Pelodiscus sinensis: one gene and its partners. The protein of the gene in region 3 purifies or fractionates together with the protein of the main gene of each other region. This does not show direct contact. Links are inferred from orthologs where the notes say so. Each region holds a gene or a part of one and is shown on either strand. Other genes may lie near its edges. The genes, in order: RPAP2, POLR2D, MED19 and CDK19.

Region 1 (7,358 bases), on a different chromosome or scaffold from region 3:
CCCTCAAAGAAAAAAGTTTAGGAGACACTCTCAATTGGGGATGCTGGTGTGTCATTTCTTCTTGAAGATTTTGTATCAACTGTTTTTCCTAGAGTTCCCCCCCCCCAATGTTTTGCACCCTTGTAGCGCCAATGGTGATAGCAAGCGTGGAAATGCTAATGTTTACAAGGCACTGTTTTTCCTGCTCCTCTGTTGGCTGAAATCTGCTCTGAGCAGGTGAAATAACACTTCCTCCAATACTGTCTTCAGAACTCGGCTGCGGGAAAGCAGTGGCTGCTGGCCAGGAGCTCCACCATCAAGATAGTGCTGCCTCCAGCTTCAACAGAGAAGTAAGGATATCTTGGCATGGTTTGCACTGTTGCATTCAGAGCTAGGCCCTTGGTCAGCAGCCACCATTTTCTGGCTGCCCAGATCAGAAGGGTGCAGCACAGGAGTAGGGGTACCCTATTCTGTGCTACTGCTGGTGGGGCACTGCCTTCGGGGATGGGTGTCCGACCAGCAGCCACAGCTCTCCAGCCACTCAACTCTGAAGGCAGCAGTGAAGTAAAGGGTGGCAATACCAAAATCCCCCAGTCAATTACTTTGCCCCCCACCCATCCATCCATTTTTGGATCACAACCCTCAGATTGAGAAAGGCTGGGCTCTCCCTGGAAATCTGTGTAGTGGTGGTCACCAACCGATCGATTGCAATCAACTGGTGAATCCTGGGGAGTCTCCCAATTAATTACGATCAGCAAGCTTCCTGTTTACCCCGTCACCAGCCTGTTCCCAAAACTGGCAAGCATGGTCCTGTGTGTGAGGAGGGATAGGGAGGCAAGAGTCTCAGCATGCTACTCCTGCCGCCTGCATGCACTGCTTCAACTGGCCAGAAAAAGGGAACTATTGCATTAGCAGAGGGACAGCACACAGAGCCACGTGCTACCCACCCCCAAAAGTGTTCCCTGTAATCTGAGTGCTTGGGCAGTTGCCCAGGAGATTCAAATGCTGCTCCACTGATTAGCAGAGTGCCCACAGATGGTAGCATGTTTCTACTGGTGGTTCACAAACTCACATTCCTCAGGGTACATCATAACATTTATTTCACACACAGAAAAAATTAGTGTGAACATTGGCCCCCACCTCTGGGCGACAGGGGCACTTTGACCCCTCCCAGGAGTGCTGTGGACCCAGGACAAGCAGGGAGCCTGCCTTAGCCTCACTGTGCTGCTGCTTGGGACAATGACAAGTGCTGCCTGGTGGCAGGCCACATGCCAACCCCCAAACTCTTCCTGCACATCCCAAATCCTCTGCCCCAACCTGACCCTCCTTCCAGAGACAGCATCCCATATCTCCTGAATCACAGAACCATAGAGCTGGAAGAGACCTCAGAAGGTCATCAAGTCCAGCCCCCTGCTCTAGGAAGGACCAATTCCAACTAAATCAACCCAGCCAGGGCTTTGTCAAGCCGAGACTTAAACACCTCTAGGGATGGAGACTCCACTACTTCCCTAGGTAACCCATTCCAGGGCTTCACTACCCTCCTAGTGAAATAGTTTTTCCTAATATCCAACCTGGACTTCTCCCACCACAACTTGAGACCATTGCTCCTTGTTCTGCCATCTGTCACTACTGAGAACAGCCTCTCTCCATCCTCTTTGGAACCTCCCTTCAGGAAGTTGAAGGCTGCTATCAAATCCCCCCTCACTCTTCGCTTCTGCAGACTAAACAGATCCAACTCCCTCAGCCTCTCCTCTTAAGTCATATGCTCCAGCCCCCTAATCATTTTGGTTGCCCTCCGCTGGACCCTCTCCAGTGCGTCCACATCCTTTTTGTAGTGTGGTGGCCCCAGAACTGGACACAATACTCCAGATGTGGCCTCACCAAAGCCGAATAAAGGGGAATAATGACATCTCTGGATCTGCTGGCAATGTTCCTCTTAATGCAATCTAATATGCCAATAGCCTTCTTGGCTACAAGGGCACACTGTTGACTCATATCTAGCTTCTCATCCACTGTAACCCCCAGGTCCTTTTCTGCAGAACTACTACTTAACGGGCTGGTCCCCAGCTTGTAACTATGCTTGGGATTCTTCCGTCCCAAGTGCAGGACTCTGCACTTGTCCTTGTTGAACCTCATCAGATTTCTTGTGGCCCAATCCTTCAATTTGTCTAAGTAACTCTGGACCCTATCTCTGCCCTCAAGCGTATCTACCTCTCCCCCTAGCTTAGTGTCATCCACAAACTTGCTGAGGGTGCAATCCATCCCTTCATCCAGGTCATTAATAAAGATATTGAACAAAATCGGTCCTAGAACTGAACTTTGGGCCACTCCGCTAGAAACCGACTGCCATCCTGACATCTAGCCGTTGATCACTACCCGCTGGGCCCGGCCTTCTAGCCATCTTTCTATGCATCTTACTGTCCATTTGTCCAATCCACATTCTCTTAACTTGCTGGCAAGAATATTGTGGGCGACCGTATCAAAAGCCTTGCTAAAGTCAAGGAATATCACATCCACTGACTTTCCCATGTCCACCGAGCCAGTTACCTCATCATAGAAGCTGATCAGATTGGTCAGGTACGACTTGCCCTTTGTGAACCCTTGATGACTATTCCTAATCACTTTCCTCTCTTCCAAGTGCCTCAGATCCCAAACACCTCCTGCACTCCAAGCCTCAGCCCTGAGCTCCCTCCCAGGGCCAGCACCCCATCTCTCCTCCTGCACCCTCCAACCATCTCCTGTACCCCAAGCACCTGGCTCCAGCCCTGCCCCCTCTCCCAGAGCCAGAACCCATACGCCTCCTGTACCCTGAATCCGCCCCAGCTCTGAGCCCGCTCCCAGAGCCAGCACCTACAACACCCTGACCCCTCTCAGAGCCAGCACCCCAACACTGTCCCAGCCCAGAGCCCCCTCCCAAGCTTGCAGCTGAACCCCGTCTTGCACACCAGCGCCCTGCCCTAAGCTGGAATACCCCGGCCTAGGAATGGGCCCGCTGCTCATTCCGCTTACGCATGGTGCCGGCTCTGCTTCCCCCTCCGGGTACCCCAGCAATGCTCCAAACGGGGGGCGGAGGGGCGCACAACACGGCTACCTGCCCAGCACTACTCCCGTCCCCCTCCCCGGCTGGGACGATTGGGTCAGTCCCCTGCGTTGGGGTGGGGAGGACGAGCCCACTAGGCCGGGAAACGGGGGGTATGTTCGGGGGGGGGGGGAGGGGGATTGTACTGATCCTACCCGCGCGTCTCCGGCTGCCTCTCGCCTTCGCACCGACGCGCCGAAGTTCCGCCGCCATCGCCGCCCGCCCCGCCCCCCGCCTGACCTCTCACCCGCCGCGGCGCGAGGGGGGGGGAGGCGGAGCCTGAGAGGGGCACGCGGGGCTCGATCCGGAGCGGCCCTGTGCGGACGCACGCTAGGTAGGAGGCGGGCGCCGCGCAGTCCTCGCCCCCGCGTCCAAGGAGGGAGGCTCTGAGCCCCCTTGTGGGGCGGCTGCGACGGGGATAGTCCTCCCCCGGCGCGTTCTCTTGGGGGCGGGGTAACGAGGCTGGCCCGCTGCGCCCCACGCGGGGCTCCTCAGACAAGGTCCCGGGCGCCGGCTGAGACCAGCCCCCCTTGTTGGAGGCGTGGAGCTCGCAGCAGCCGTATTTACAGCCTCAGGCTGCGGGCTTTGCTGTGAGCCACGCGCCCGGTCTCCCTCTTCTTCTCCCCTCCTTCCGTGCGAAGCCGCTACAGCCTCTCCGCGACCTGCTTATTGGTTTGCTTTGAGAGACAGGAGGTGTGTTCTGTAGGCCCCGGGGTGTAGAGCAGCCTCCGACGTGACTCAGCGCATCAGTACTAATCCCATCGACTGTGCTAACCCTCGACTGGGAGGATCCCAGACATCAGTGGTTTCCAACCTTTTTACGCCCAAGATCACTTTTTAAATGCCAGGACAAGCCAAGATCTACCCCATCCCTTCCCCAAGACACCCTCCCCCCTTGAAGCCCTGCCCTCTCTGTTCTCTCTATCACTTGCTATCCTCAGCCCTTATACACCCTTGAAAGACTAGGTCTATACTGCAGGGCTGTGTCTACACTGCACCCCTTTTCCGGAAAAGGGATGCAGATGAGACAAGTCGGAATTGCAAATGAAGTGGGGGATTTAAATATGCCCCGCTTAGTTTGTATAAACATGGCTGCAGCTTTTTTCCGGCTCCGGGCTTTGCTGGAGAAAAGCGCCAGTCTAGACTGGATCTTTTGGAAAATAAAGCCTTTTCTGAAAGGTCCCTTATTCCTGATTTTAAGAGGAATAAGGGACCTTTCGGAAAAGGCTTTATGTTCCGAAAGATCCCATCTAGACTGGTGCTTTTCTCCGGCAAAGCCCAGAGCCGGAAAAAAGCGGCAGCCATGTTTATACAAACGAAGCGAGGGATATTTAAATCCCCCGCTTCATTTGCAATTCCGACTTGTCTCATCTGCATCCCTTTTCTGGAAAAGGGGTGCAGTGTAGACACAGCCCAGGGTTTTTGCACAAGAAGTTTTTTGAGGAAGAGTTCCCGTGCAAAAACTTGCGCAAGAGCGCGTCCACACCTCAAAATGCACTGCTTTTGCAATGAGCTTTTGGGCAAGAGAGCATCTACACGGCATGGACACTCTTGCGCAAGAAAGCACTGATGGCCATTCACAGAATGGCCATCAGAACACCTGTGCTTTTTCGGATTGGCTCTTTTTGTGCAAGAAACCCCTGCGGAATATCCACACATGCCTTTTTGCGCAAAAAGGAGATATTCCTCTTAGGAGGTATATCTGCACCGCAAAAAGTCATCTGTTCTGTCAATTGACTGTAGATTTTCTTGTGTAAAAACGTGCTTGAGGTGTGGACACTGCTGGTTTTTGCACAAAAAACGTAGTGTAGACGTAGCCTCAGGGCATACATAGAGCCTTGTAAATCTGTGGATGTCTGCTTTATAGTCACAGGTTTATTTGTGCTGATAGAGATGCAGATACAGATTTTATATCCACCCAGGGCTCTACCCACCCCTACAGCCTGTTTTCACCCAAGTATGGCTAATGGCAAGTGTTTGACAAAAGTGTATGGAGGATGCTAGGTGCTTCCATGCATTTAGAATACATTCTCCCTTTGATGCATTCTTCATTGGTGTTCAGATCCTATAAGAAGAAATCAAAATGGGTGGAAAAAAACATTCTTAATGAATGGTGTTTGCCAATTATAGCTAATATATAATTTTCTTTCATAATGACTTAAGGACCGGTACAGTTCCCACTGAAGTCAGGGAAATATATCACTGACTTAATCATGTGGGCCACATACGTGCAATGAGCTCAGAACCAGTACACTACGGAGCTCAGTATATGATTTGAGCCTTATTGATGATACCAAGTTACTTTGGGCCCCAAATAGGTAACACTGTACATTTGTTTTCAAACAAATTAAAGTAGTTCTGGGCAGTGTTTCTTCTAAACTGTGCAGCCTCATATCTTAACTGGTGATTAATCAGCCCCGCCCAGTCAAAAGCTCAGGGCTCCATGTGGAGCTGATTCACTGGGCAGGGCTGACTATTCACCTGTGAAACTGTGCTGCCTCGCAGCTTAGAGGGAACACTGATTCTGGGGGAATGTCGCCATTGCTCTTGCAGTGGTGCTAACTCAAACTCAAAAGTACATCTTAGTGCAGGGATGGGCAAGATGCCACCTGGGGCAGACTCTGCCCTGCTAAAACTTTGATCTGGCCCACAGACAGTGTCTGACAGTTTTCTATTTATATCTTGCTGTCCATGCCACCGAATTTTCAGGTGGTGGCTCGGACAGCAGGATCCTATTTAAATAGTGCCCAGTTGTGGCTCTTCTTCAGGGGCTGGAGCTATGAGCTCTGGTTACCAATACCCAACCATTGTGCCATTGCCATTGTGACCCCTTGGCAAAAATTATTGCCCATCCCTGTGCTAATGCAATGAGAACAGCAAAGTGAAACTGTCAAGTGTGGATTCACTGTCAAGTGTGGAAAACAGTGAAATAAAATGTAAGTAGGATTTCAGTATAATAAAAAGAAAATTAGTTTTCACATTCTTTTAGTTATCTCAATTCAGATTTGGATGTTTCAGTACTTGGGGACGCTCGGGGCAGAGCAGCTGGGGTGCTGGGTTGGTCCCGTAGCGCTGCTCCTTGGTGCTGCCGGACCATCCCGGCAGCACCCCAGCTGCTCTGCCCCAGACTTCTCCAAGTCAGCCGCTGCTGAAACTGACCAGCGGCTGACTCCGGGGAAGAGCACCCCAGCTGCTCTGCCCCGGGCTTCCCAGATTATCAGAAGTTTACTGTAGTTGGACAGTTCCCCTCTTTAGATATAGTTTTCATGCTCTTTCCTGTCTCCTATAAACAAGCAATAGCAGTGCCTGCACAGGAGATGGAATGAAAAAATACCCTGCATTTTTTAACTCTTTTCTCTTCTGTTTTGTCTCATGTTCTTTTATGCAGCCTCCTTAATTTCTGTAAGATGTTTTACCACTTGGGACTTGCTAAAATGTGATAATTTTTTAATCTCCATTTTAAATCCAGTATAATATTGAATATAATATAGTTGTGACTCATTACTATACTCTAAATTATGATAGAGCTTTTCAATGTCAGAAGAACAAAATCAGGATACAATGGCAACTGAGGAGCTTCAAGCCGTTATACAACGATGTGTAAGTAACTTCCTTTCTGTAAAAATATACTAACTGTTAGAGAAACTGGCATTGCCTAAATTTGTGTGCACAGACATATCTGTTTGAGCAGCTGGGGAGAGGTAAATCTCTGGGGAAAGGGGTGCCTGGGGATGCCCTGGCTTCCCAGGGATGTTTGTCTCAGCTGGGTGGGCTGGGAGGGAAGAAAGAGGATGAAGACAGAGTTTCCCCTGCCCAGACCAGTTGGGTCTGTGTCAAATCAACCCCAGAAACTACTCTAAGCTGCAGGTAGCTCTGCACTGCTGGTGGGAAGGGGCCTGTCTGAGTGGGAATTCTAGGTGTGGGGTGGTAAGGCTCAGTGCGGGTTTTGAGTGTGTGTGTTTGGGGGAGAGATCTGGATGCATGGGGTTGGATAGACGGGGGAGCAGCTTCCTGTTCAGTGATCAGTCTTCCCATCCATGCGCCTGGAACCCCTAATTGAACCCCTGCCTTGCACCCAGAACCTCTCTACCAAGACCCCCCAACTTCCACCCTGCTGATTTCCATCCCCTGCATGAGCAGCCCCTCACACTTGGACCTCATTGAGCTCCAACCAGCTACACCCTGACCCTCTCAACCTTATCAAACCCTGTACCCCCAGACTCTCACTGATCCCTAACTACCTTCACCTGGACTTCCTTGCAGTGTCCCATTCTCTCTTCACCCAGAGCCCTGCATCAAG
Region 2 (8,056 bases), on a different chromosome or scaffold from region 3:
TGATCGAAACAAGCCTCTTCCCTGTGATTTCACTTTAATATCCAGAATTCCTCATGTTTCTACACATATTTGGTACCATCTGGCATTGCACCATTTATCAAAAAATCTCCCATTTCCTGTTGAGTTATAATACACAGATAACAATAAAGCCCCATGCTATAATTGTCAGGTGCCTCAAATCCAATTAATCAGTTAATACCTTCCTCCCACCACTTTTTTACTGATCAGTTTCAGGATATGAAATTAGAAGGGTGCCATACTCAGGAACAGATGTAAACAAAGATATCTGACTGACATCATGCAGAATTGTACCTTGTAGGCCATCCCACAGTGGCTATGAAATGCTGACTACAAATGGGAAACAATAGATCAGCTCAGTTTTCCACTTATTCCTGCATCTTGGAACCCATAAATCATAAAACCAAAGTCATAAATTCTCACCTGGGAATCAAAGCCTTGGCCTCCTCAGCTGTCTCGGGACACAGATTAGCCAAACATGCCAATTCAAATTTATGGAGCTTTTTCTGGAGCAACAAACTACAGAAAAAGAAAATGGTAAGGGTAGAGATAAAACAGAATAAATAAAAAAGAAGAAAGGAAAAGAATGTGAAAGAAACTAAACTGCTGACATTCTCCTGACAGAACTGTGAATAAGGAATGGAGATGAGAAAAAGAGCAATATAAGTTGTAATTTTTATTATGAATATAACTCTTATTGCTAGTAAGAAAAAAAAGTCATACACGATAACCCCAGCAAGCCTCCAAAAAAGAAAAGCTAGAAAAGTCCTTTTATCTACCACAACCTATTATCATATATTATCATATCATACCAAAAGAGCTCTGGGGGCTCAGCCTGGGGCCTCTTATTACCCAGTCTAATACAAGTGCTCTCAACCTGGACGTCATGATTCTTCAAAAGTCACAAGTTTTTTACATGGAATTGTGTGAGCTGTCAGCCTCCAGCCCCAAAATCATGTTTTGCCTCCCGCATTTATAGTAGCATTAAATATATTTTTAAAATGTGTTTTAATGTATAAGGGGAATAGCACTCAGAAGCTTGCTGTGTGAAAGGGATCACCAATGCAAAGGTGTTTGAGAACCACTGCTCTAATGGAATCTTACTAAGTCCCTCACTCCCCCAGAAATATACAACTAAGATCTCTAGAACAACCCTGTTCCTGGAAATAATTAACATGTTTCAACTTCATAATATAGAACATACACTACAATAACTCATCTTTCCTTGGCGCTCTCACTCACCTACGGACACTGGCAATGGTCTCTCGGTTTTTGAAGCGGCTAAAGCGAGCCGTGTAGTTCAGAGTTTTCATGAAGACTTCAGAGAGCTCCTGCTCATCCTCAGCACTCTCGTTCTGTTGTTTACGATGCTCAAGAAGCATGTGCACTTCTGAATTTAGAAGCGTCTCAGCAGTTTCAAATTCTGTACACGAGCAAGTGAATATCAGTGTGAGGGGGAGATAAGGACACCAACAAAGAAGCCAATTCTTACATGCTTTGTTTCATGCTCAGATATAGCTGCAGAGAAAGGAAAATGAGCCAGAGACATAGCTTTGACAGAAAATCCTGTATTCCATAACTTGGAAGCCATTACTAATGAGAATATAATTCCTCCAAGGCCAGACAAATAGGTTTACAATACTGAGTTGCACTCCAGGTATTTTTAACTTTTTGATCATACATATTTAAATTGCCAGCCCAATCTTTTGAGGTAATCATATTTTTGTAATGAATTATTACTCAGTAGACACAAAGGTCTGAAATAAAAGACAAATATTAAAAGGATAGTACTGCAAAGGCTTTTTTTTTTTTTACACTACTTCTTTTTTAACTTAGTTAAATCAGGAATGGCAAGAGTGGTTTTCTGTGGTTTTGCTAGAGAGCTTCTTGCAGTTTTGAGGGATGTTTACTGCTAGCACCTTAATTAAAGGATCCTGAATATTTAACAAAGGCTTTCATTATCAGAAATGTTAATTTAGTTGTTGAAATTAAACAGGCAATAACAAAAAACAAGTTTGAAACAGTCTGACTATAGATCATTTTCCCTCTCGTAGATAAACTTCTTTCTCAGCTCTTGCTTTTTAACCATTTCATTAATTTGTTTGACTTCAAGTGTGTTTATGAGACTAGATGGGGTATGAATTTCTGGTGCAAAAAAGCAACTAGACTGCACATATTTCTGGTTTCCATTTACATCATAGCAGAGTATAAGCCCATTTTTCCCATTTTGGGGACACCTTGAAGGAACAAATATAGCTATTTAAATATTACTATTTTGAATTATATTGATATGTACACTATTTTTCAGAGTCATTCAGAATATTTGCAACAGAATTTACTGGCAATTGGTAATCCCGCTTTCAATGCTTCAATAGTTGGTTTCCAGTCAATAATTGTAAAATAGTCTCACGGGCAGCAATACCTGTGTGCCAAGGATCATCGATCAGAAAAACTAGAGTTCTTCAGATCAATCCCAGAGATCACTGAACTGTGACAGCCTGATACAGCTCGGAGTGTTTTACATACAACCCTGCGACAGGGACTGTCTTTTTGTCCTGTATTTGCACAGCACCTAGTAGAGGTTCCCGGCAAGGGGGCGCTTCAGCCGCAATCGTGCCCCTTTGACGCACTGAAAAGCCTTGCGAGACGCTATTTCAAGAACGATCCGCGCGGGGCTAGTCCGGCTGGAACCGGGCGGCTTAGCGCTCGGGCAGCGCGGGCTGCCACGGCTCGTTCTCTTCGCAGCGCCCCTGCCTGTGGGGACTGGCAGCGACCCAGAGCTGGGAAATGGGACTGGGCGGCCCGGTTCAACGCCAGCACCAGGGGCCGGGGCGGGCCACGCTTCCTCCCCGCCCCGCAGGGGGAATCTTCCCCGCCCGTCCGCCCCCAGCTCCCGGGCGTGTCCCCCGCGGATCGAGCCCCGCGCACCTTTGGGGAAGACGAGCTGCGAGGCGTCCTCCTCCACGTCCGCGGCGCGCGCCTCGCCGCCTCCGGCCGCCATCGCCTCAGCCGGCAGCGGCTTCCCCTGGCGAGCGGGGGCTGCCGGGAGCCCTCGCGCTCCTCCCGCCGCGCGGCGGCCGGGCCCAGACTTCCCCAGCTCCCGCCAGGGGGCGGGCGTCTGCTGCGCGCGCTGCGGCCTAGCGCCAGGCCCGCTCCCTCAGCTGTCGGGCGCGGCAGGGAAAAGCCCGGTGGGGACCAGCCCCCTGCGAGCTTTCCCCCAGGGACCAGGCTCCTCCCTCAGCCAGAGCCTTCTCCTGACTGCCCCTAGGGCCGCCTCCACGCGCGCAGCTAGTCGGGAATAGCCTGGCCCGAAACACCACGGCTGTGTCTAGACTGGCAAGTTTTTCTGCAAAATCAGCTGCTTTTTGGCGGAAAAACTTGCCAGCTGTCTACACTGGCCGCTTGACTTTCCGCAAAAGCACGGACGATCTCATGTAGCTGGTCAGTGCTTTTGCGGCAATACTATGCTGCTCCCGTTCGGGCAAAAGTCTTTTTCCAAAAACTTTTGCGCCAAAGCGCCAGTGTAAACAGCAGAGATTTGGTTTCCGCAAAAAAAGCCCCGATCGCGAAAATGGCGATCGGGGCTTTTTTGCGGAAAAGCGTCCTGCCAATCAAGACGCGCTTTTCCAAAAATGCTTTTAACGGAAAACTTTTCCGTTGAAAGCATTTCCGGAAAATCATGCCAGTGTAGACGTAGCCCACCTCTGCGCTGCCGGGTAGCCTCAGAATGAGCCTGACGCAGGGGTAGACGTGCCTTCTCGGTTTGCAGCCCCAAGAGGAGCATGGCCCTGGGGACGGGCCGTTTCCAAATAGCAGAAGTGGAGCATCTGCACACGCCTCATTCTGAAATAGCCATTGCGGATTGGCATTATTCTTCATAGAATGAGTTTACAGATATCGGAATAAGCCGTCCATTATGTTGAAATAATAGAACTGTGTGTAGACGCTCGCTGTTATTCCAAAATAATTTTGCTGTATGGACACACCCTACCAGTGCTCCATACAAGAAATAAAGTGACTCAGACACAGATCCACCTGACCCAACGGCTGCTTCTGCAATCACTTACATCCTGTATGGCAGAAATAAGGGAAGGAACCAAAGAACCTCTCCAAAAAGCAAATTACCCACTACTTTTCCCAACACTGTTGCATAGGAAACACTCTTGCAATGCATCTGCTGGGAAAAAAGACTCACCATCTTTCTTGGTTGGTAAAAGCCGCCACAGACTCTTAACAGCCTACTTTTGACCACAATGAGAGGAAATGCGTTCAGTTATTCTGATATATGCAGGTGTGGCCAGGGCCGGCCCAAGCCCTTTTGGTGCCCCAGGCATGCAGTGCTGCCACAGGCACATGGTGCATGCGTGGGCCCGCCTGTGGGGCACAGGCCTGGCTATCAAGGGAGCACGGGCCCGCCCACAGGGCACACGGTGCATTCGTGGGCCGGCCACGGCCACTGGCGTGCAGCCCGGGGCCTGCCCCCGGGGCGCACAGTACATGCGCTGCCCAGCCCAGCCTGGCCAGCGCTGCTGGCACGCGCTCCAGGCCATGCAGGGCCCCACGGCCGTGGGGGGAAGAGCGCTGCAGGCCAGCGCCGCGGGGCCAGCACTACGGGAGCCGGGCGCGCAGCGCCTGATGGCAGCTATAAGGGACGCCACACGCCCCTTGCAGCTGCCATCAGGCGCCCCTCATCGGTTGGCGCCCTGGGCAGTTGCCCGGCTCGCCCATGCCTCAGTCCGGCCTTGGGTGTGGCCAGTGCTCAGGACCTTGTTGATTATCTAACTATCTATTGCCCATTTCTATATGTCTTTTCCAGAGTAAGATTATTGAGATGATGCAGTTGTAGCAACATTTGGTATCTACCACTATTTCAGACTATTTCCCGTTATGTCAGAGCTGGACATAGTGTGTAGGTATTGTTGGCTATATTGATAGATGCTCTTACAGCCTCATGTGTATGTCTTTACACATAAGGGACCCAGCGGCAAGCAGGCAATGGAGTGAATTCTGCTGTGGCTGAGGGGCTAGCGCATTTGCCTGTGGAAACATAGGGTGGTGGGTTCAAGGCTGGAGGAAGGGGGCATAAGGGATCTGTCAGAGATAGTCTCTGGAAGTTGATCTAAGATGCTGCCTGTCCTATGGTTGCTAATACTCCAAATTGTCTTGCAGTCTCCATGAATTAAAGATTGTTTTGTCCTCTTCTTCTTAAACCCTTGCACTCCAAGTGGAGCATAGGTTATCTATGACCTATGTAGGGACAACTTAGTGGCTTGAGCATTGGCCAAGGTTGTGAGTTCAATCCTTGATGGGGCCATTTAGGGATCTGGGGCAAATCTGTCAGGGATGGTACTTGGTCCTGCTGTGAAGGTCCCTTCCAGCTCTGAGAGAGGTATATTTCCATGTATGATATTAACTCTCCAACTTCATTCTGTCTTGAGACAAAACTTCTAGCTGACTCCAGGAGTACCCGAGTTGTCCTTCAATCTCAGTAGATATTCTCCATGTTGTCTGAGGTTTTCCTCTTTTGCATTTTCCTTGGGGGTTCCATGTGAGAGTTTAACTGACTATGCAGGGTGATGGTTTTCTGAGAGTGTGGCCTAGCCATCCCCACTTTCTTCTCTTCATTTGAACATCAAGTGGTTCTTGTCCTGCTCTGTTCCAAAGCTCCTCATTTGTGACAAAGTCTTGCCATTTGATGTGAAGGATGTACCTCAGGCATCTGTTTATGGATGTATGTAGCTTGTGATTTGAAGACTTTTTAGTAGAATAATTCCTCATTTAACACTACAGGCAGTCTCCGACTTACGCGGATCCGACTTACGTCGGATCCGCACTTACGAACGGGGCTTTCTCGCCCCGGAGGTCGAGGTAGCGGATTGCTACCTGCGAGCTCCGGGGCGAGAAATCCCCGTTCGTAAGCTGCTCCGGTGCCCCTGGTCTGCTGGAGACCGTCTCCAGCAGACCAGCGGCACCGGGCGGGTTCCCACGCTTCTGAGGCTTTGCTCTGGCAAAGCCTCAGAAGCGCGGGAACCCGCCGCTGCTGCCGCTTCAGTCGCGGTGCCTGTGGTCTGCTGAGGACGGTCCCCAGCAGACCACAGGCAGGGGACTGAAGCGGCAGCAGCTGCGGTTCCCCGCGCTTCTGAGACTTTGCTTTGGCAAAGCCTCAGAAGCGGGGGAACCCGCCCGCTGCTGCCGCTTCAGTCCCCTGTCTGTGGTCTGCAGGGGACCGTCCTCAGCAGACCACAGGCACCGCGACTGAAGCGGCAGCAGCGGCGGGTTCCCGCGCTTCTGAGGCTTTGCTCTGGCAAAGCCTCAGAAGCATGGGAACCCGCCCGGTGCCGCTGGTCTGCTGGAGACGGTCTCCAGCAGACCAGGGGCACCGGAGCAAAGCCAAAGCAAAGTCTCAGAAGCACGGGGAACCGCCGCTGCTGCCGCTTCAGTCCCCTGCCTGTGGTCTGCTGGGGACCGTCCCCAGCAGACCACAGGCACCGGGACTGAAGCCGCAGCCGCGGGGGGGTCCCGCGCCTCTGAGGCTTTGCCAGAGGAAAGCCTCAGAGGCGCGGCACCCCGCTGCCGCTGCGGCTCTGCTCCTGTATCCCTGGTCTGCTGAGGAGAGGAGGGGGCGCGGCTAGTGTGCCCCCCCCCAGCAGACCAGGCTTTTGTTTTGGACCCTGGAGCAGAGCAGCTGGGGCTGCCATTTGGTCCTGCAGCGCCTTCTGGGCACTACTGGACCAACCCGGCAGCACCCTAGCTGCTCTGCCCCAGGTCCTGATTCAGCCGCTGCTGGTCAGTTTCAGCAGTGGCTGAATCAGGACGCCTGGGGCAGAGCAGCTGGGGTGCTGCTGGGTTGGTCCAGTAGCGCCAAGGAGCGGTGCTACTGGAGCAACCCAGCAGCACCCCAGCTGCTCTGCCCCAGGCGTCCCCAAGTCAGCCGCTGCTGAAGCTGACCAGCGCTGACTACAGGAAGCCCGAGGCAGAGTTGCTCTGCCCCAGGCTTCCTGGAATCAGGTGCTGATCAGTTTCAGCAGCAGCTGACTTGGGGAAGCTTGGGGTTCTTAAATTGAATCTGTATGTAAGTCAGAACTGGCGGTCAGTTTCAGCAGCAGCTGAATCTGGACGCCAGTTCCGACTTACATACAGATTCAACTTAAGAACAAACCTACAGTCCCTATCTTGTACGTAACCCGGGGACTGCCTGTATAGATGCATTTCTGCAAATGTTCGTGCTAAATGAAAACGTGCTATGCGGGGTCAATTTTCCCATTAAAAATAATGGAAAAGGTGGGGTTGCATTTCAGGTGGTAGTGGTAAAATCAATCTTTTGTTGGTGCTGGGTCTTCAACGTTGACATTAGATATCTAGCAACACAAGATAACCAGCAACACAAGTTGCCGCAGTTTGTTAAAACACAAAAATAAACACATAAATGAGCGGAGGAGCGCTGTGACCACACGTATTCATCCACTCATGCGTATTACCACTGTTTTCACCAACTTATGCTCCTCAAGTAGATGAATTGCTCCACATCTTCCAGGTCATCCCCTCCCTGTGTGATGGTGGTATTGTTGGACTGGTTGTTCCTCATTATCTTGGTCTTCCCCTTGTTAATGCTCAGTCCAATCACCCATTTTCCCCATTTCTACTCAGGGAAAAGACTGGCTGGGGAAAAGAAAGGGGTTCACCCAGCTTTGTATCATTTGGGGGTCCACTGAAACAGTAGAGTTTGGTTTTCCCTCTATATCTTATGGTGGTCAGTGATGGGAGTAGCTCAACGAACAGCAAGCTGATGCCCTAGGTGTGGTACCTAAATTGAGGGCTGCTCTGAGCCCCTGAGGCAAGCAAATCCACCTGAAAGTGCAGGACCCACCAAGTTTGAGTACGAGTTTTGTCACAATACCTTGATATCTTTCCTACAAATAATTCATAGTAGAAAAATGGAAAAGGTTAGACAAGCATCTATCAGGGATGGTTTAGATATTTTAAATCCTGCCTCTACTCAGAGCAGTGAACAAAATGACCTGTTGAGATCCTTTCCAGC
Region 3 (7,554 bases):
GGGCAGGGAGACCCAGCAGGCACAGAAGTCAGACATTTGGTTTCCAGGACTAGGTCGCTTGCTCTGTGGCTTTGTGAGAGGTTTTATCCAGCTCTCCCACACTGGATTCTTGGCTCAGCAAGCGTGGGAGGAAGCAGCCGACACGATCTGGTCCCGCAGAACACTCTCCTAAGCACGTTAGGGAAACGTGACCTACGGGAAGTTGTCAGAAGGTGGGCAAACAGCTGGTTGAAAGAGCGCACCAAGAGCGGTTGCCAATGGTTTGCGGCCCAAGGCCATAACTAGTGGGAACAGCATTCAATACCGTCACCAATGCCTTGGACACGGAGGAGAGCGTGTGCTTAGAAGATCTGGGGTTGAGGGGCTGCCCAGATGGTGGGAGGTTAGAACTTAAAATGAGTTTGACAGATTGGAGAACTGGTCTGACTTCAACAAGCTGAAAGCCAATGAAGACAAGCGCTAGAGGCAGGAAGGAATGAAATCGGATGCAGGGCTACCCAGTGGGGAACTGGCTAGTAGGCAGTGCTCCTAGAAAGGGTCCAGGGCTTCCTGTGGACCGCAATGGGAACAGGAGCCAACAAAGGGAAAAAGGCTAATGTGGCCCTGGGGTGCAAGTGGCTGGGGCCAGGGAATGAAGATGACAAGCAAAGAGAGGGGTGAAGCAAGAGAATGGTCTTAGCAGCAGCAGTTTGCACCGCCCAGTTGCAGAGGCAGGGGCAGTTACCCCGCTCTGGGGCAGGGGAGCATGCACTCGGACAGTGCAGCAGAAAGGAGCTTGAGCCCTTCCTCCCCGTGAAGTGATAGGGCCCGTACCAGCCTAAAAGGGTGCTGCATTTAAAAAGCCAATTGACGGTGGAGAGTCAGCACTCTGAGAGCCCCAGCCCTGAAATACATAAGGAAGCTCAAAGACTGCATCCCTAACCCAAGATGGGGCATGAGGAGTTCAGCCTGTCGTCTAGGGCAGGGGCTTTCAAACTCTGGGTCACAGCTTCTCAGGGCAAGCTGCTAGCTGGCTGAGACACATTTTTTTAAAAAATCTGCACCTCCCCAGGACAGTCCATCGCAGCTCCAGTTGGCTGGCCAATGGGAGCAGTGGGAAGCGGTGTGGACTGCAACCAATGGGAGCTGTGCGCAGGTACACAAAGCATCATGCAGCCAACTAGTGCCAGAGTTTGAAAGCCCCTGGTCTAGGGAGGAGTCATTTTGCTGGGGGAGGGGACGACTACTTAGCACCATGGGGCACGTGAGCAAAATCCAAGCAAGCACAATGGTGTTTCAGTAAGAACCCTTTCTCCCACCCTGCGTCTGGCTGGTCTAGTTGGATGGGCAGCTCCTCAGGGCAGGGACCTTCCCCACTCTGCATGGGCTCTATGGAGCAACTGACTGGGTTGGGGTGTAGCGAGCGTACAGCACAGACTTGATTCCCTTCGGAGCCAGCCACGTGGCCCCACAGCAGCACCTCACCTATGCACAGCGTCAGGTAGAGCAGCCCCATCCGCACATCCAGCCGGAAGAAGAGGATCGCATTGGCCACTTTACTGAACATGAAGATGTTCCCCACGTGCTGATCCACGGTGACTGGGGAGAGAGGAAGTGGGGGAGGTCAACCCCAGACTAACACCCTAGTTCAGGGCAAAGCTGAGGTGCACGTGGAATAGACCAGGGCATTGCACCTCACGACCCAGCACCTTCTCCTCTCAGTCCAACACAGACTGCCCCACTTCCTGTACCTGCCCCCCGCACTGACGCTGCCATCCCAAAGTCTCTTCCTAAGAACAGCAATATTGGGTCAGGCCAAGGGCCCATCTAGCCCAGTGTCCTGTCTTCTGACAGAGGCCAATGCCAGGTGCCCCAGCAGGAGAGAGCAAAACAAGGAATCATCAAGTGATCCCTGCCCTGTCACCAATTTCCTTTGACAAACAGAGGCTAGGGGCACCATCCCTGCCCATCCTGGCTAACAGACACTGATCGACCTAACCTCCATGAGTTTATCTAGGTTTTTTTTAACCCTTTTAAAGTCCTGGTCTTCACCACACCCTCTGGCAAGGAGTTCCATAAGTTGACTGTGCCTTGTGTGAAGAAAAACTTCCTTTTGTTTGTTTTACACCTGCTACCTCTTAATTTCATTTGGTGACCCCATGTTCATGTATTACAGGAAAACGTAAATAACTCATCATGCCAGCTTTGAGGTCCAGCTGCTCTAGGACCTCCCTGATCTTGCCACATGCCTCCTCAGCCAGACCCCCTCCAGCCCTCCTCCCTACGCCAGAGTCCTTCCTGGGGTCCGACACGGAGTCCAAGCGTGCCCACCAAAGCAGCCCTTGGAATGCCGCCCCCATCTCCGCCCCCGGAACAGTCCCGCGGAGGCATGGGGGCGGGGGAACAGGACTCACTGGATCTGCGGTTCTTCATCATCACGATGGCACTAAGGAACATGAGGATCTCCACCTCCCGCTGAAAGAAATGGGGGGGGGGGCAGAGTCAGCCCGGCTCAGATTGGGGCGCCCAGCCCAGCCAACGAAGCACCAGGGAGGGAGCCGGAGCCCCCAGAGTGGAAGCCCCACGTGGAACCAGCCAGGGGACTGGGACAGCTGGACATAGCATGGGGGGAGGCAGGGGGGCTCGGGACTCACCCAGTCGAAGTCGCGGGGGGGGGGGGGAGGCAGGGGGGCTCGGGACTCACCCAGTCGAAGTCGCGGGGGGGGGGAGGCAGGGGGGCTCGGGACTCACCCAGTCGAAGTCGCAGGGGGGGGGGGGAGGCAGGGGGGCTCGGGACTCACCCAGTCGAAGTCGCAGGGGGGGGGGGGGGAGGCAGGGGGGCTCGGGACTCACCCAGTCGAAGTCGCAGGGGGGGGAGGCAGGGGGGCTCGGGACTCACCCAGTCGAAGTCGCAGGGGGGGAGGCAGGGGGGGCTCGGGACTCACCCAGTCGAAGTCGCAGGGGGGGGGAGGCAGGGGGGCTCGGGACTCACCCAGTCGAAGTCGCAGGGGGGGAGGCAGGGGGGCTCGGGACTCACCCAGTCGAAGTCGCAGGGGGGGGGGAGGCAGGGGGGCTCGGGACTCACCCAGTCGAAGTCGCAGGGGGGGGGGAGGCAGGGGGGCTCGGGACTCACCCAGTCGAAGTCGCAGGGGGGGGGGAGGCAGGGGGGCTCGGGACTCACCCAGTCGAAGTCGCAGGGGGGGGGGAGGCAGGGGGGCTCGGGACTCACCCAGTCGAAGTCGCAGGGGGGGGGGAGGCAGGGGGGCTCGGGACTCACCCAGTCGAAGTCGCAGGGGGGGGGGAGGCAGGGGGGCTCGGGACTCACCCAGTCGAAGTCGCAGGGGGGGGAGGCAGGGGGGCTCGGGACTCACCCAGTCGAAGTCGCAGGGGGGGGGGCAGGGGGGCTCGGGACTCACCCAGTCGAAGTCGCGGGGGGGGGGAGGCAGGGGGGCTCGGGACTCACCCAGTCGAAGTCGCGGGGGGGGGGAGGGAGGCAGGGGGGCTCGGGACTCACCCAGTCGAAGTCGCAGGGGGGGGGAGGCAGGGGGGCTCGGGACTCACCCAGTCGAAGTCGCAGGGGGGGGGAGGCAGGGGGGCTCGGGACTCACCCAGTCGAAGTCGCAGGGGGGGGGAGGCAGGGGGGCTCGGGACTCACCCAGTCGAAGTCGCAGGGGGGGGGAGGCAGGGGGGCTCGGGACTCACCCAGTCGAAGTCGCAGGGGGGGAGGCAGGGGGGCTCGGGACTCACCCAGTCGAAGTCGCAGGGGGGGAGGCAGGGGGGCTCGGGACTCACCCAGTCGAAGTCGCAGGGGGGGGAGGCAGGGGGGCTCGGGACTCACCCAGTCGAAGTCGCAGGGGGGGGGGAGGCAGGGGGGCTCGGGACTCACCCAGTCGAAGTCGCAGGGGGGGGGAGGCAGGGGGGCTCGGGACTCACCCAGTCGAAGTCGCAGGGGTTCCCATCCTCGCGCTGGGTGGGCAGCCCCTGGCAGAGCGGCGGCACTTTGCGCACCAGCAGGAAGGCGGCGGAGAGCAGCGCCGAGAGCGGGTAATAGGGCCGCGCCAGCCAGCGGCACAGCCCAGGCACCGAGTAGAACAGCGCCAGCAGCGGGGCTAGCACCGCCATCTTCACCTCCACTGAGCAGCCCCGCACCGCCGGGACGACCGCGCACGCTCCACCGATCCCTATTGGCTAATCTTAATGCCAATCGTGATGAGGACAGGAACTGTAAGAAAGACCCATTCTCATTGGTTGATACCGCTGCCCCTCAAAATTAGACACATCCAATTGGCTAAATGGATTTCAAGGGGGCCTGCCTTTGTAGAGCGAGGGACTAATCAGATATCGGAATTTGGAATGACGTAAAGGCCAGACCTGATTGTCATCACAGTGCGCATGGGAGAAAACCAATCACGTCAGGCAGAGGAATGTAGCATTTTTGTCCAATCAGAGATAAACAGTGGGCGGAGTTCAAAATAGATGGGCCAATCACAGCCATAGATAGGACAGGCCGCCCTCCAATGAGGACAAGGCAGACTGTCAACTCCTCGAGGAGCCGAGCCAATGGGAGGAGAACGCGCGGGGCATGCTGGGACGATGGAGCCTTTCTCTGCTCTCTTCGGAGGGGCTGAGCCGCCGCCTCCTGCCGCGGCCGCCGCGCTGGGCTTCGGGCCGGGGAAGCCGGGCGGTCCCGGCGCCGGCCCGCCACCCACAGCCGCCGCGCCCCAGAGCGCAGAGGACGCCGCCCGCAAGGCCGCGGCTGCCAGCGGCCCCTTCTACCTAATGCGGGAACTCCCAGGTACCGAGTGCAGGGGGCGGGACTTTGCGGACTTTGGCCAATCGAGTTCAGGGGGCGGCCTTTAGGGGTCTGGCCAATCGGATTGCTCAGATTTCTGATTGGCCTCTCTCCCCGCCTATTAATGGCTGGGCCTGTTTTCTCCAGCCCAATAGGCGAAACAGACGGTCTGGTGGAGGCGGGGCTGAAGAGGTTTTTTGGATTGTCAGCCCTTTCCTCCAATGGGGAAGTCGGAAACCTATGGGGGAGGCAGTGTGTATGAATGACTGGATTGGCAGTTCTGGGAGCCAATCATGATGCAAGAAGATGTTTGGGGGGGGAATATGGGTGCTCGTAGCCAATGGAGACGGGGGGGGAGGGGAGAGAGAGCCTGCTCCCAACTGGGTCTGCATGAGCCATTTCCCAGACTCTTGTGCTGCCCCAGGAACAGTGCTGCCCCAGGGCGGTGGGGGGTGCCCAGGGGAGGGAGGCAGACGTCTGTGGGATGGGGGAGGCTGCTCCCACCCAAGGCCCTGGCTGCTCATGTAGGATCCCCAGGGGCTGGGCCACAGTCCAGCTCTGATGCGGTTAATGGGGCTAAATCCCGTTTCCTTCCCCTGTTGCCAGGCAGCCACGTGAGTCTCCAGCCCGTGGTGCGGCGCTGCCGTGTCCCAGCCGCTCTGGTTAGCGGAGGGGCTCTGCCCCTGCTCTTGAGCAGGCCGGGCTGAGGTCTGCTGCACCTGTAGCCCAGTGCACTGCAGATAGTAATGAAGTCTCCCCACTGTGCTGAGCCAGGCAAGGGCCAGCCCAAGCTTGCTGCTGGAGACAGCTTAAACTAATATGCTGAAGGCCAGAGGGGAAGCCAGTGGCAGAGCTGGGAGGGGAAGTCAGGAGCCCAGGCTCCCAGGCCTGTTCACAGAGTGCCCAACCACATGGCCTTGAGCAAATGTACAACCTGGCTCCCCTGGTCCCTGCTCAGGCAACATGGAATTGACGGGCAGCACGAACCTGATCACACACTACAACCTGGAACACTCCTACAACAAGTTCTGCGGCAAGAAGGTGAAGGAGAAGCTGAGCAACTTCCTGCCTGACCTGCCAGGAATGATCGATTTACCAGGTTCGCACGACAACAGCAGCCTGCGCTCCCTTATCGAGAAACCACCCATCTGCAGCAGCTCCTTTAACCCCATCACTGGCACCATGCTGACTGGCTTCCGCCTGCATACCGGCCCGGTGAGCTTCCTCCTAAGCTATAGGAAGTGGGAGGGTAGTTTTGGGGTGGGAGTCAGGACAGGGGGGACTCTGTTTGGGCTGGGTGAGATGAGGCAGAGGGGTCTGTGGAGAAAACAAAAAATCCTTGCTGATTAACCAAGGAACATGTAGTGGTGGGAGAATTTCTCCAAAGATCATCTCCCTCCCCATCTACCCTAATTTTTCTCTCTACCAGTTGCCAGAACAGTGTCGCTTGATGCACATCCAGCCACCCAAGAAGAAAAATAAGCACAAGCACAAGCAGAGCCGCACACAGGATCCTGTTCCCCCAGGTAAAAACTGCCTTCCACAAATCTATCAGTCCCCTCTCTGAGAGAGAGCAGCACCCACCAAATCTTTTCCAGACCCCAGTAAAATCATAGGTCAACCATCTGCCATCTCCAAGAGGGGCTCACTCAAAGGGAGATCTTGGCTTTCTTTGCAGAAACCCCTTCAGATTCCGACCACAAGAAGAAGAAGAAGAAAAAGGAGGAGGATCCTGAGAGGAAGAGGAAGAAGAAGGAGAAGAAAAAGAAGAAGGTAAGTGACTACAAGGGGGAAGAACTTGTGGTTCACTTCCCCATCAGCAGTCAGTGCTCCCAGTCCATGCTTACCTTACCGGGGAGGGAGAGGGCTTGAAATGTATCTGATCCTCTCCTGGTTACCTCCATGCTCTGGAGTCTCTGTCTTAATATAAAGGCCCGGGAGAGTAGGGGTTTGGATGCTGCTGGTCCCACCTAGAGTAGGCAGGCAGAAAAATAAGCTTTTTCCCACCCAAAAAGAGGGAGGGGGGAGGGAGAGAGAGAGAGAGAGACTCCTTCAAGAGGGTAGGGCCCTGTGTCTGTGTGTGACCCCTTCCTGGGGAGTGGAGAATGGGAGGGGTGTAGTTATTTAGAATTCAAGACTCAAAAGATTTTTGATTTAAGAAATGCTGGTGTGGTGGCTTTGGATGCTACAATTCAGTTGCCTCATGCCCCCTCTTGCATAGAACAGGCTCCCTGGTTTGTCTATATCTCCCAGGACATGCCACTTTCCCACTCCATGAGAGTCCCTGGCCATGGTGCACCGTGGGCGCTGGAGCCTGGCCCAGAGAGGAACGGAGACCCTAAGCATCTGTATTACAGCTCTGATGAGACACCAGGGCTGCATTTGCAGATTGAAATATCTGGGGGTTTGGTAGGAAACTGATGTGTCCTGTTGAAACCACATGCTGTTGGGGGGACGCCTGGGAATGCTCTTTGGGGCAGTGTAAAACAGGCCAAAAGTTCTGAGTCTTCATTCCCCCTGCTCCGATTGGTCCCCGGGCTGAGGAATCCTGTCCTGACTCAGTCCCTTATTGCCACTGTGAATCCTCATGGGGTTGTCTGTCTGACTCAGAACCGGCACAGCCCCGAGCACCCAGGCGTGGGCAGCTCTCAAGCGAGCAGCAGCAGCAGTCTGCGGTGAGGTGCCGACTCAGCATGGCACTGGGAGTGCTCTATGGAGATGCCCATCACCAACATGCGGGGGAGAGCGGCGCTGGAGGCAACATCAGGAACAACCCTGGAGCG
Region 4 (7,518 bases), on a different chromosome or scaffold from region 3:
GCTGATTTCCAGCTTGCGCCCAGTCCCCACTACCTCCCTGCGGAGACGGAGCTGGGGGAACTGGCTTTTAAGCCGGCTCCTTCGAACACTGGCTCTTGTCCCCTCCCCCCTTGCGGACTCTGATAGAGGCAGCAAGGGGAGGAGGGTAAGCGACTAGTTGAGGAATTAGTTGACTATCCTATAAGCTTTTGCTTATTGCAGAGGTGGAGAACCTTTTTTGGGTTGGGGGCTGTTGACTCACAGAAAAATCAGTCGGGGGCTGCACACAAATTAGGAGCAAAATAAAAAAACAAAAAAACACCCCAAGAATAAACTCCCACTGACATTGAGGAGATAAAGCTTCAGAGGTTAGTCTGTAACAGGAAAAACTTAAAAAATAACAATTAGTCTAGTAGCATCTCAAAGACTAAATAGTTACAAGAGGCTGATAAGAACCATTAGTTAGTACTTGGAAAGGAAGATGACCAACACCAGATTCTACACAGACATCAAGAACCATTAGCACCTTCATTGGTCGGTTGGTTGATAATGTGTGAACCATGATTCACACATTATCATAAGAAATAAACTTGTGAATGAAGTTAAGCTCCAATCCTTCTCTGTGTATTTGGCTTGTGGAATTGGTCTGAAACAAAACAGCGACTTGGAGATCCATTAATGAGTGTCCAGGAAGATTAAAGTGTTCTCCAACAGGTTTTTGTGTGTTGCCTTTTCGGATATCTGATTTGTGTCCATTAATTCTTTCCCATAGAGCAGTGGTCTCCAACCTTTTTACACCCAAGATCACTTTTCAAATGACAGAACAAGCCAAGAGCTACCGCCCCGCTCCTTCCTCGAAGCCCTGCCCCTTCCTCTCTATTCTCTCCATCACTTGCTATCCCCAACCCTTATACTGCTGCTTTTCCCCCAATCCTTCTGTAGGAAGAGGTTTCCCCAACATTTGGCCTGTCAAGACTGGACCAAATGTCAGTAAAACCCCTTCTTTTGGAAGCCCTCTTATTCCTCGTGGAAAGAGGAATATAGGGGTTACTGAAAGAGCATGTTTGCTCTTCCACTAAAAAAAGCGGAAGAACAAATGCATCCCTGGACGCAGAAGAGTTTTTCTGGGATATCTTCAGAATCCTGAAAAACTCCTGCAGTCTAGCCTTACCCTCACTGGGTTGAGGCAGGATGTATAGGCTCTGGGGTGGGAATGAGGGATTTGGATGTGGGAAGGGGTGAGAAGTGCAAGCTCTGAAAGGAAATCTGGATATAGGAGGAGGTGGAGAAGGGGACGCTGGGTTGGGGAGGGGGCTTCAGGCCGGGCAATGTTGGGGTCAGATGTAGAGTTAGGGTACTAAGCAAGCCACAAGCTTGTGGATATAAAGGTGCAGGAATTTGGGTTAGGGTATGTGAGGGGCTCAGGGCAGGGATTTCCAGTGTATGATAGGTTCAGATCAAAGGTCTGGGGGAAAGGGGTATGCAGGAGTGTCATGATGTTGTGGGCAGATGGGGGCTTGGCCCCAACTGTGGGTTTGTTGGCCAGGCTTCATTTTTAAATAAAATACTATGGCAAACAAAAAGTTTCTGCATTCTCTTTATTTATGAGAAGGGCAGGGAACCTGTTTTGAGTCAGGGGTCACTGACCCACAGAAAAGTCAGTAGGGTCCACACAAGTGGGATGCAAAATAAAAACTCCTCCAAAACTCCCACAAGCCTCACTAATGTGGCCCCAACTGTGCTGGTGGGAGCAGGGGGACATGGTATTGGGGAAGGGTGCAAGGGGGTATCGGGACAGGGTGCTGGCTAGGGTGCCAATGGGTGCTGGGGCAAGGGCCAGTGGGTTCTGGGGCAAGGGCCTGGGGCAGAGGACAGGGTGTCAGTGGAGGCAAGGGACAGGGTGCTGGGGTGGGGACAGGATGCCAGTGGGAGCAGGGTGTTGGCTGGGGCAGGGATTCCCCCCCCCCCAAGAGGAGAGAAGCTCCGGCAAGAGCCTCTTCCTGGGACGACTCCTCTGCAAAGGAGGAAAGCCCTAGCGCATTTCCCCCAGGGACTTCTCCCCCCTCCCTGGCGCGTGCTTCTCCCCGGGACTCCTACCTCCTCCCCCGCAGAGGAGAGGAGCCCCAGTGTGCACTGCCCCTCGGACTCCTCCCCTCTCCCTTACAGAGGAGGGGAGCCCCAGCACATGCTTCCCCCTGGGACTCCTACCTTTTCCCCGGCGTGCGCTTCCCCCTGGGACTCCTCCCCCATCCCCGGTGCAAGCTTGCCCTCAGGACTCCTACCTCCTCCCGGGCAGAGGGGAGCCCCGGTGCGCGCCTCCCCTCTCTTCTCTTCCCCCCCCCCCCGGAAGCCCCAGCGCGCATCTTCCTCTGGGACTCCTACTTCCTCCCGGTGCGCCACAGACCTGGAGGAGAGGAGTAGGCAGTGTACTTCCGGAAACCCCGGAAGTGGCACGCAGTTGCTGGACTTCCCTCCACCCCACAGGAAGTTGGCACTACCTCCGTTTTCGGAGGTAGGTAGTGGGGCTTCTTGGGGGCGAGGAGAATTGGAGGGGCCCCGAACGCCTCGCAATCACTGGTCGAGCCCTTCCGATCAACCCGTTGATTGTGATCGATGGGTTGGTGACCATGGCTGTACAGACTGTCCAGTCTGTCCGATAGATATTGCAGTGGGGGCATTGCTGGCATTTGACGGCATAAATCACATTAGGGGATGTGCAGTTAAATGAGTCTCTGGTTTGGTGGCTGATATGGATACTCCCCAAATTCTCCTCAAACAGCAGAGTCCCCCCCACGGGGTTCACCACCCCTAGCTCATCAGACAGTTGACTAGTAGCTTACATCCCTAATGAGGCTATATACCACTAATCTTATGAGAACAGCTTGAGGCACGATGGTAGCAAATATCAATTTCAAAACAGAAATGGGAATTGAAGGTATGTTTACCTGATGGAGCCTTTATTGATATAGAGCACAACCCTGTAGTGTAGTATAGCTACAGCCTATAGCAACAGATTTGTTGTAGTAACACAACCTCCCTGAATGACTCTGGCTATTTCCCTAGACACCACTTCTGTCAACCTAGAGTTGGAGCCTACACTGTTTTTTTTTAGCATAGCTATGTCTTTCTGGAGTGTAGTTTTTTCTCACCCCTAACTGGCATAGCTACTTCAAGGCAATTTAAGTACACACTAAGCCTAGGACAGAAGTGTGTGAGTGGCCCTTTTCATGATAGTCATGCTTAAGTCCCATGACTGGCTGTTTTCTCTTGCAGTGGAATAGCCTCCTGGCAATGTTGTCATGGCGATGATGACTCAGGAATGAGCAGGGTTAGTGCCTGGCCGTCCGGCATTGCTCTGTGCAAGCAGTTCTGGGCCAGCCTTTGATTGTGCATCACCCCGAAGGCAGGGATGTGCGCTAGCGCGGTGCCTCGCAGGGCTCAGCGGGCACCTCCGATCTTTCGCCCTGGCGCTGGTAGGGAAGGAAGCCGAAGCGCCAGCCCCTTGGGCCGCACCGGGGCGCGCAGGCGGGGCCGCTGCCTCCTCCTCTGACCCCTCGGGGACAGCAGGTGGGGCCCCGCCCCGGTTCCACTTGTAGGAGGGTGTCGCCGCCGCCAGGCCACGCCAGCCCGCGGGGCCCTATTGCATCTGCTGGAAACTGGGCGGCAGCATCTAACCCGCTCCGCGCTGCCCCGGCCACTCCGATCAGAGACGGCTCCGCCCCAAAAGCGCGTGCCAGGGCGGCTGATTGACGAGCACGGCAGCCACTCACGCCTAAGCCCGTAGCCCAACGACTAAATGCGCGAGATGAGCCGTAACCAATCGGGATCGCCAAAGAGGGGGGAAGGGCGGGGCCACGCTTGAGTGGCAGCTCACAACGTAAACAAGTACCAGCGCCACAATCCTTCCCCTCCCCCTAGCTGAAGGGCTGAGGCTCAGGTACTGAGCACGGTCTCGCTGCGAACCAACCTCCCTCCCCCGTGTGGTTGCGCCTCCCACCTCAGTCGGGCAAAGTGAAGAGTCAGCAACTTCCCAGCGTCCGCTGAAGCGCTTAGCCGCTCAAGGGAGCGCAGGCGCAGGCAGGGAGTGGGTATTGCGGTGCATGCTGGGAAATGTAGTTCTCCCGCCGCTGCCTGCCTATGGAGCCTTTGGATCCGCGGCGCCCGCTGCACTATCAGTCCCAGAATGCCCCGCGCCACGGTGCAAGCCGCTCCAGTTGAAGCGGGTGGCGGCGGAGCGGACCAAAAAAAAAAAAAAAACCCCACAACAAAATCCAAGAAAACAGCCCCCCCAGCCCCACTCGCGGCAATGGTGCAGGGAGGGGGCTCCCGGCGCCGGGGGCGCTGATCCCGCCGCGCCCCCTCCCCCATGGGTGAGCGACATGGACTACGAGTTCAAATCCAAGCTGGCGGCCGAGCGCGAGCGGGTGGAGGATCTGTTCGAGTACGAGGGCTGCAAAGTGGGGAGAGGCACCTACGGGCACGTCTACAAAGCGCGGCGCAAGGACGGGTAAGAGGGGGCGGCGCTGGCACGGGGCGGGGGCTCCTGGCTTGGTCCCCCCCCCCCCCCCGCCCCTGAGTGTCCCTCCGCCCTCCTGGGGCCGCGGCGCCGGGACTCCCTGCAGGCGTCCCCAGTTCAGCGACGCTGATGCCGCAAGCTCCTGGGCACCCTCTCGACCCCGCAGCTGCGGGAGGGTGCGGTGACTGGGGGGGACTAGTTGTCTGTGGCCCCTGGAGACGGCAGTGACAGTGGGGCTGGGCGGTGCTAGCTGCCGCGCCCCCTGCCAGTGGGAATGCCTAGAAATCCCCACACTGGGAAGGGGAGCGGAGGGGACGGGGTGGAGCGGGACTTGGTGGTGGGGGTAGGGGAGCTGGCGGTGGTGTGTGTCCGTCCGTTCCGCCCCCCCCCCGGGAGGGAGAGAGCCAGAGCATGAAGGTGGCAGCGAGAAATGAGAGGGGCCACCCTGAGGTGAAGGTGGGAGGGTAGCAGGGAGACTGGGGCGAGCCCTGGTGCTGTGTGTGTATGTAGGGGGAGCAGTAGGAAAGAGGTGGGAAAAAGCCTGGAGGTTGGGGTAGGGACTTGAGGATGGACTGTGGTAGCCTTGGTGGTAAAGAGTCTGTGCATCCCTCAGTGTCCCTTTCTCCCAGTCCCTGCAAAAGATGGGCTATAACAATTTTTCTTCTCCATGACTTTCCATCCGTTGACTTACTGTTTCACTTGAAGCCAGGAGGGATGGAGCAACAAAGGAAGAAAAAGGCAAAGAAACTAACTTTTGGAAAAAGTTTTTTGTAAACATTATTGTACTAAGGTAGAAAATCCAGCTTTCAAAAACAAAAAGATAACTGGATAAGAGGAAGTGGTGATGCAGGTGCAGCTCCACTGACTGGTGCATCCAGGCTTAATATAGATCATACATTTACTGAATAAGCACCTATGTTCAGGGCTCCCAACAGGCCCTGAGTGTTTTCGCAAAAAACAAACAAAAAACAAATCTAACCAACAACTTAGTTCTATACAGATATGCACACACAAATAAAGAGTATTTTTGGTATATTGCTGCTAGCCTAGTGTGTTCTGTGTGGGCTGAGTGAAGCTTTTAAGTGATGCTTCAAATATCGTAGCTTCATTTAAATTAATGTTTGTATCCCCAACCCCAGAAATGTTAATCCTGTGAAATTTGTTAGCTGGTCAGTGATGTGGTGGTGCTTAGTGTTCCTTATGAATTTTGCGATACACTTTATAGCCTAATTAAGTAGAAACTGAATAAGGTGGTGCTAAAAAGTCCTTGTTGTCCTAGTGAGGTTAATTCAGTATACCTACTAAATGTCTGGTTTTTAAGTGTGAGCATTGTTTGCTACTTATGAAGCACTGGCATCTCCAGAGTGAATCAAAATTATTTTTAAAATCCAAAAGAGTGGCCTGCTGTGTCTGTTTGTACTTTTCTAGTCTACGCCATGTAGAACTTTTCTGTAGCTTTTAATGAGTCTGGTAGTTGTTCGATGTGTATGACTCCATACAAGTAGCTAGTTAGGCCCAGAATGAGATGTACTGCTCTTCTCTCTGTGATGCTGGAAAGGTGGGATGGTAGTTCCCTGGCTAGTTATTACTATTCCTTGCTTGTCTCATTTAATTGTATGGCAATTCTGTAAGGAAAACACCTGATTTATCTCAGGTGTTGGTCTGCATGTATGCTGGCCATATTTATGCACACTACAATTACAGCGGTGAAACTTACGTCACTTGGGTTGGGTTTTTTAAATACCTTGGAACAGAGTGACATAAACTTTGCTGCCACAAGTAGTAGTGTAGACATGATCTAAGTTAGTAGGGTATAATACTGAGGCTAAGCAAGGGACAGGCAAAATATGGCCCGTGGGCCAGATCTGGCCTGCCAAACATTTGGATCCAGCTTGTTGTAGCCCAGTGGGACTTTCAGGTAGGCTCCTTGGATGCTGCAGCCCATACGCTGCTCACAGTGGCCAGCATGTGTGTGTCTGTGCAGTGTGCCCCTTGGAGGGGATGTTGATCTCTGTACTCTGCCCCCTGCACCATCTTTGCAGCTGGAAACTGGCCAATGGGAGCTGAAAGGGCAGTGCTTGCAGGTGCATACACCACATAGAGGCCCAATGATTCCCAAGGGGCATGCTGTGCAGAGATGCACATTAAGGCTGCAGCAGCCAGGGAGCTAGCCCAAGCGTCCTTCCGGGCCACTGGCCAGGGGCTGCCTATGGTAAATTCTCCTGGCCAGAGCTGGCTTAAAAGCTGGTTTCCCCCAGCATCAGCTCTGCAGTGCCACCTACCCCTCAGAGGCAGCAGTGCAGAGGTGGGGCAGGGAAGGCTGCTGCAAAGGAGGCCTCTGTCCATGGTGGCCCAGGCTCATTGTGGACAAAGGTTGCTCTATGCGAGGTGGACCAGCCTTTGTCCATGAGGAGCTCGGACCCTTCCCCCCCCCCGCAGACAGGGGCTGCACCAGTCTCTATCTGTGGCCAGCCAGAGCCACCACAGACACAGGCTGTTCCATGGTAGCCTCCCTTCTCCCCCCTCGCTCCTGCTGCAGCAGCCTCTGTATCAGAGGTAGCAGTGCAGGGCAATAGGCAGCCAGTCTGTGCGGGGAGTTAGTTTTTGTACAGGCTCCCCTTGCGAACTGGCTCCCAACTGCCTCAGCCCACGCTGCTGCCCCTGGTGACTAACAAATAGTCTTGTAACCAATAAGATTTCATGCGGTTACATGGCTATTCAATTACACTATATCTAACATCTCTATACCAGACCTCGCATCCCCTCCATTAATATAATAGACAAGTGTTTTACCAGATTCTTGGAGTGGTTTCCCATAAAAAAGTTATTGCCCACCCCTGGGCTAGATTAATAGTCAAGACAGAAGATTGGTTCAAATAAAGGAAATCTGATTCCAGCTCTAAAGCTGACTGCTGTAGCCCTCAGCATAAAGTCTGGATAACTTCAAAAAGAGAATTTAAGAGTTACAGGCATGACAGGTGTTAAATCACTGGGGTTAGCCCCTGGTGCTTTGCCAGTCATTT

What was found.
Region 1: the proteins of MED19 (region 3) and RPAP2 purify together in Homo sapiens (affinity purification with mass spectrometry; 3 studies listed by BioGRID and IntAct, with this or other methods). This does not show direct contact. The link is inferred for Pelodiscus sinensis from reciprocal best matches to the Homo sapiens genes MED19 and RPAP2.
Region 2: the proteins of MED19 (region 3) and POLR2D purify together in Homo sapiens (affinity purification with mass spectrometry; 4 studies listed by BioGRID and IntAct, with this or other methods). This does not show direct contact. The link is inferred for Pelodiscus sinensis from reciprocal best matches to the Homo sapiens genes MED19 and POLR2D.
Region 4: the proteins of MED19 (region 3) and CDK19 purify together in Homo sapiens (affinity purification with mass spectrometry; 7 studies listed by BioGRID and IntAct, counting the BioPlex papers as one, with this or other methods). This does not show direct contact. The link is inferred for Pelodiscus sinensis from reciprocal best matches to the Homo sapiens genes MED19 and CDK19.

What each region holds. Positions count from the first base shown.
Region 1 is NC_134719.1:34,345,995-34,353,352, reverse strand, and holds the start of RPAP2 (putative RNA polymerase II subunit B1 CTD phosphatase RPAP2), read right to left. Parts: upstream 3,356-7,358; 5' UTR 3,272-3,355; coding exon 3,214-3,271; intron 3,187-3,213; exon of another isoform or gene 2,993-3,186; coding exon of another isoform or gene 2,989-2,992; intron 1-2,988. Other genes in the region: GLMN (glomulin), read left to right, coding at 6,593-6,658.
Region 2 is NC_134720.1:5,692,138-5,700,193, forward strand, and holds the start of POLR2D (DNA-directed RNA polymerase II subunit RPB4), read right to left. Parts: upstream 3,229-8,056; 5' UTR 3,020-3,228; coding exon 2,947-3,019; intron 1,442-2,946; coding exon 1,261-1,441; intron 538-1,260; coding exon 442-537; intron 1-441. UniProt on the Homo sapiens protein: Core component of RNA polymerase II (Pol II), a DNA-dependent RNA polymerase which synthesizes mRNA precursors and many functional non-coding RNAs using the four ribonucleoside triphosphates as substrates.
Region 3 is NC_134714.1:128,612,801-128,620,354, reverse strand, and holds the start of MED19 (mediator of RNA polymerase II transcription subunit 19), read left to right. Parts: upstream 1-4,446; 5' UTR 4,447-4,539; coding exon 4,540-4,774; intron 4,775-5,729; coding exon 5,730-5,986; intron 5,987-6,200; coding exon 6,201-6,297; intron 6,298-6,449; coding exon 6,450-6,544; intron 6,545-7,381; coding exon 7,382-7,450; 3' UTR 7,451-7,554. Other genes in the region: TMX2 (thioredoxin-related transmembrane protein 2), read right to left, coding at 1,465-1,578, 2,394-2,454, 3,913-4,101. UniProt on the Homo sapiens protein: Component of the Mediator complex, a coactivator involved in the regulated transcription of nearly all RNA polymerase II-dependent genes.
Region 4 is NC_134713.1:79,074,121-79,081,638, reverse strand, and holds the start of CDK19 (cyclin-dependent kinase 19), read left to right. Parts: upstream 1-4,183; 5' UTR 4,184-4,345; coding exon 4,346-4,486; intron 4,487-7,518.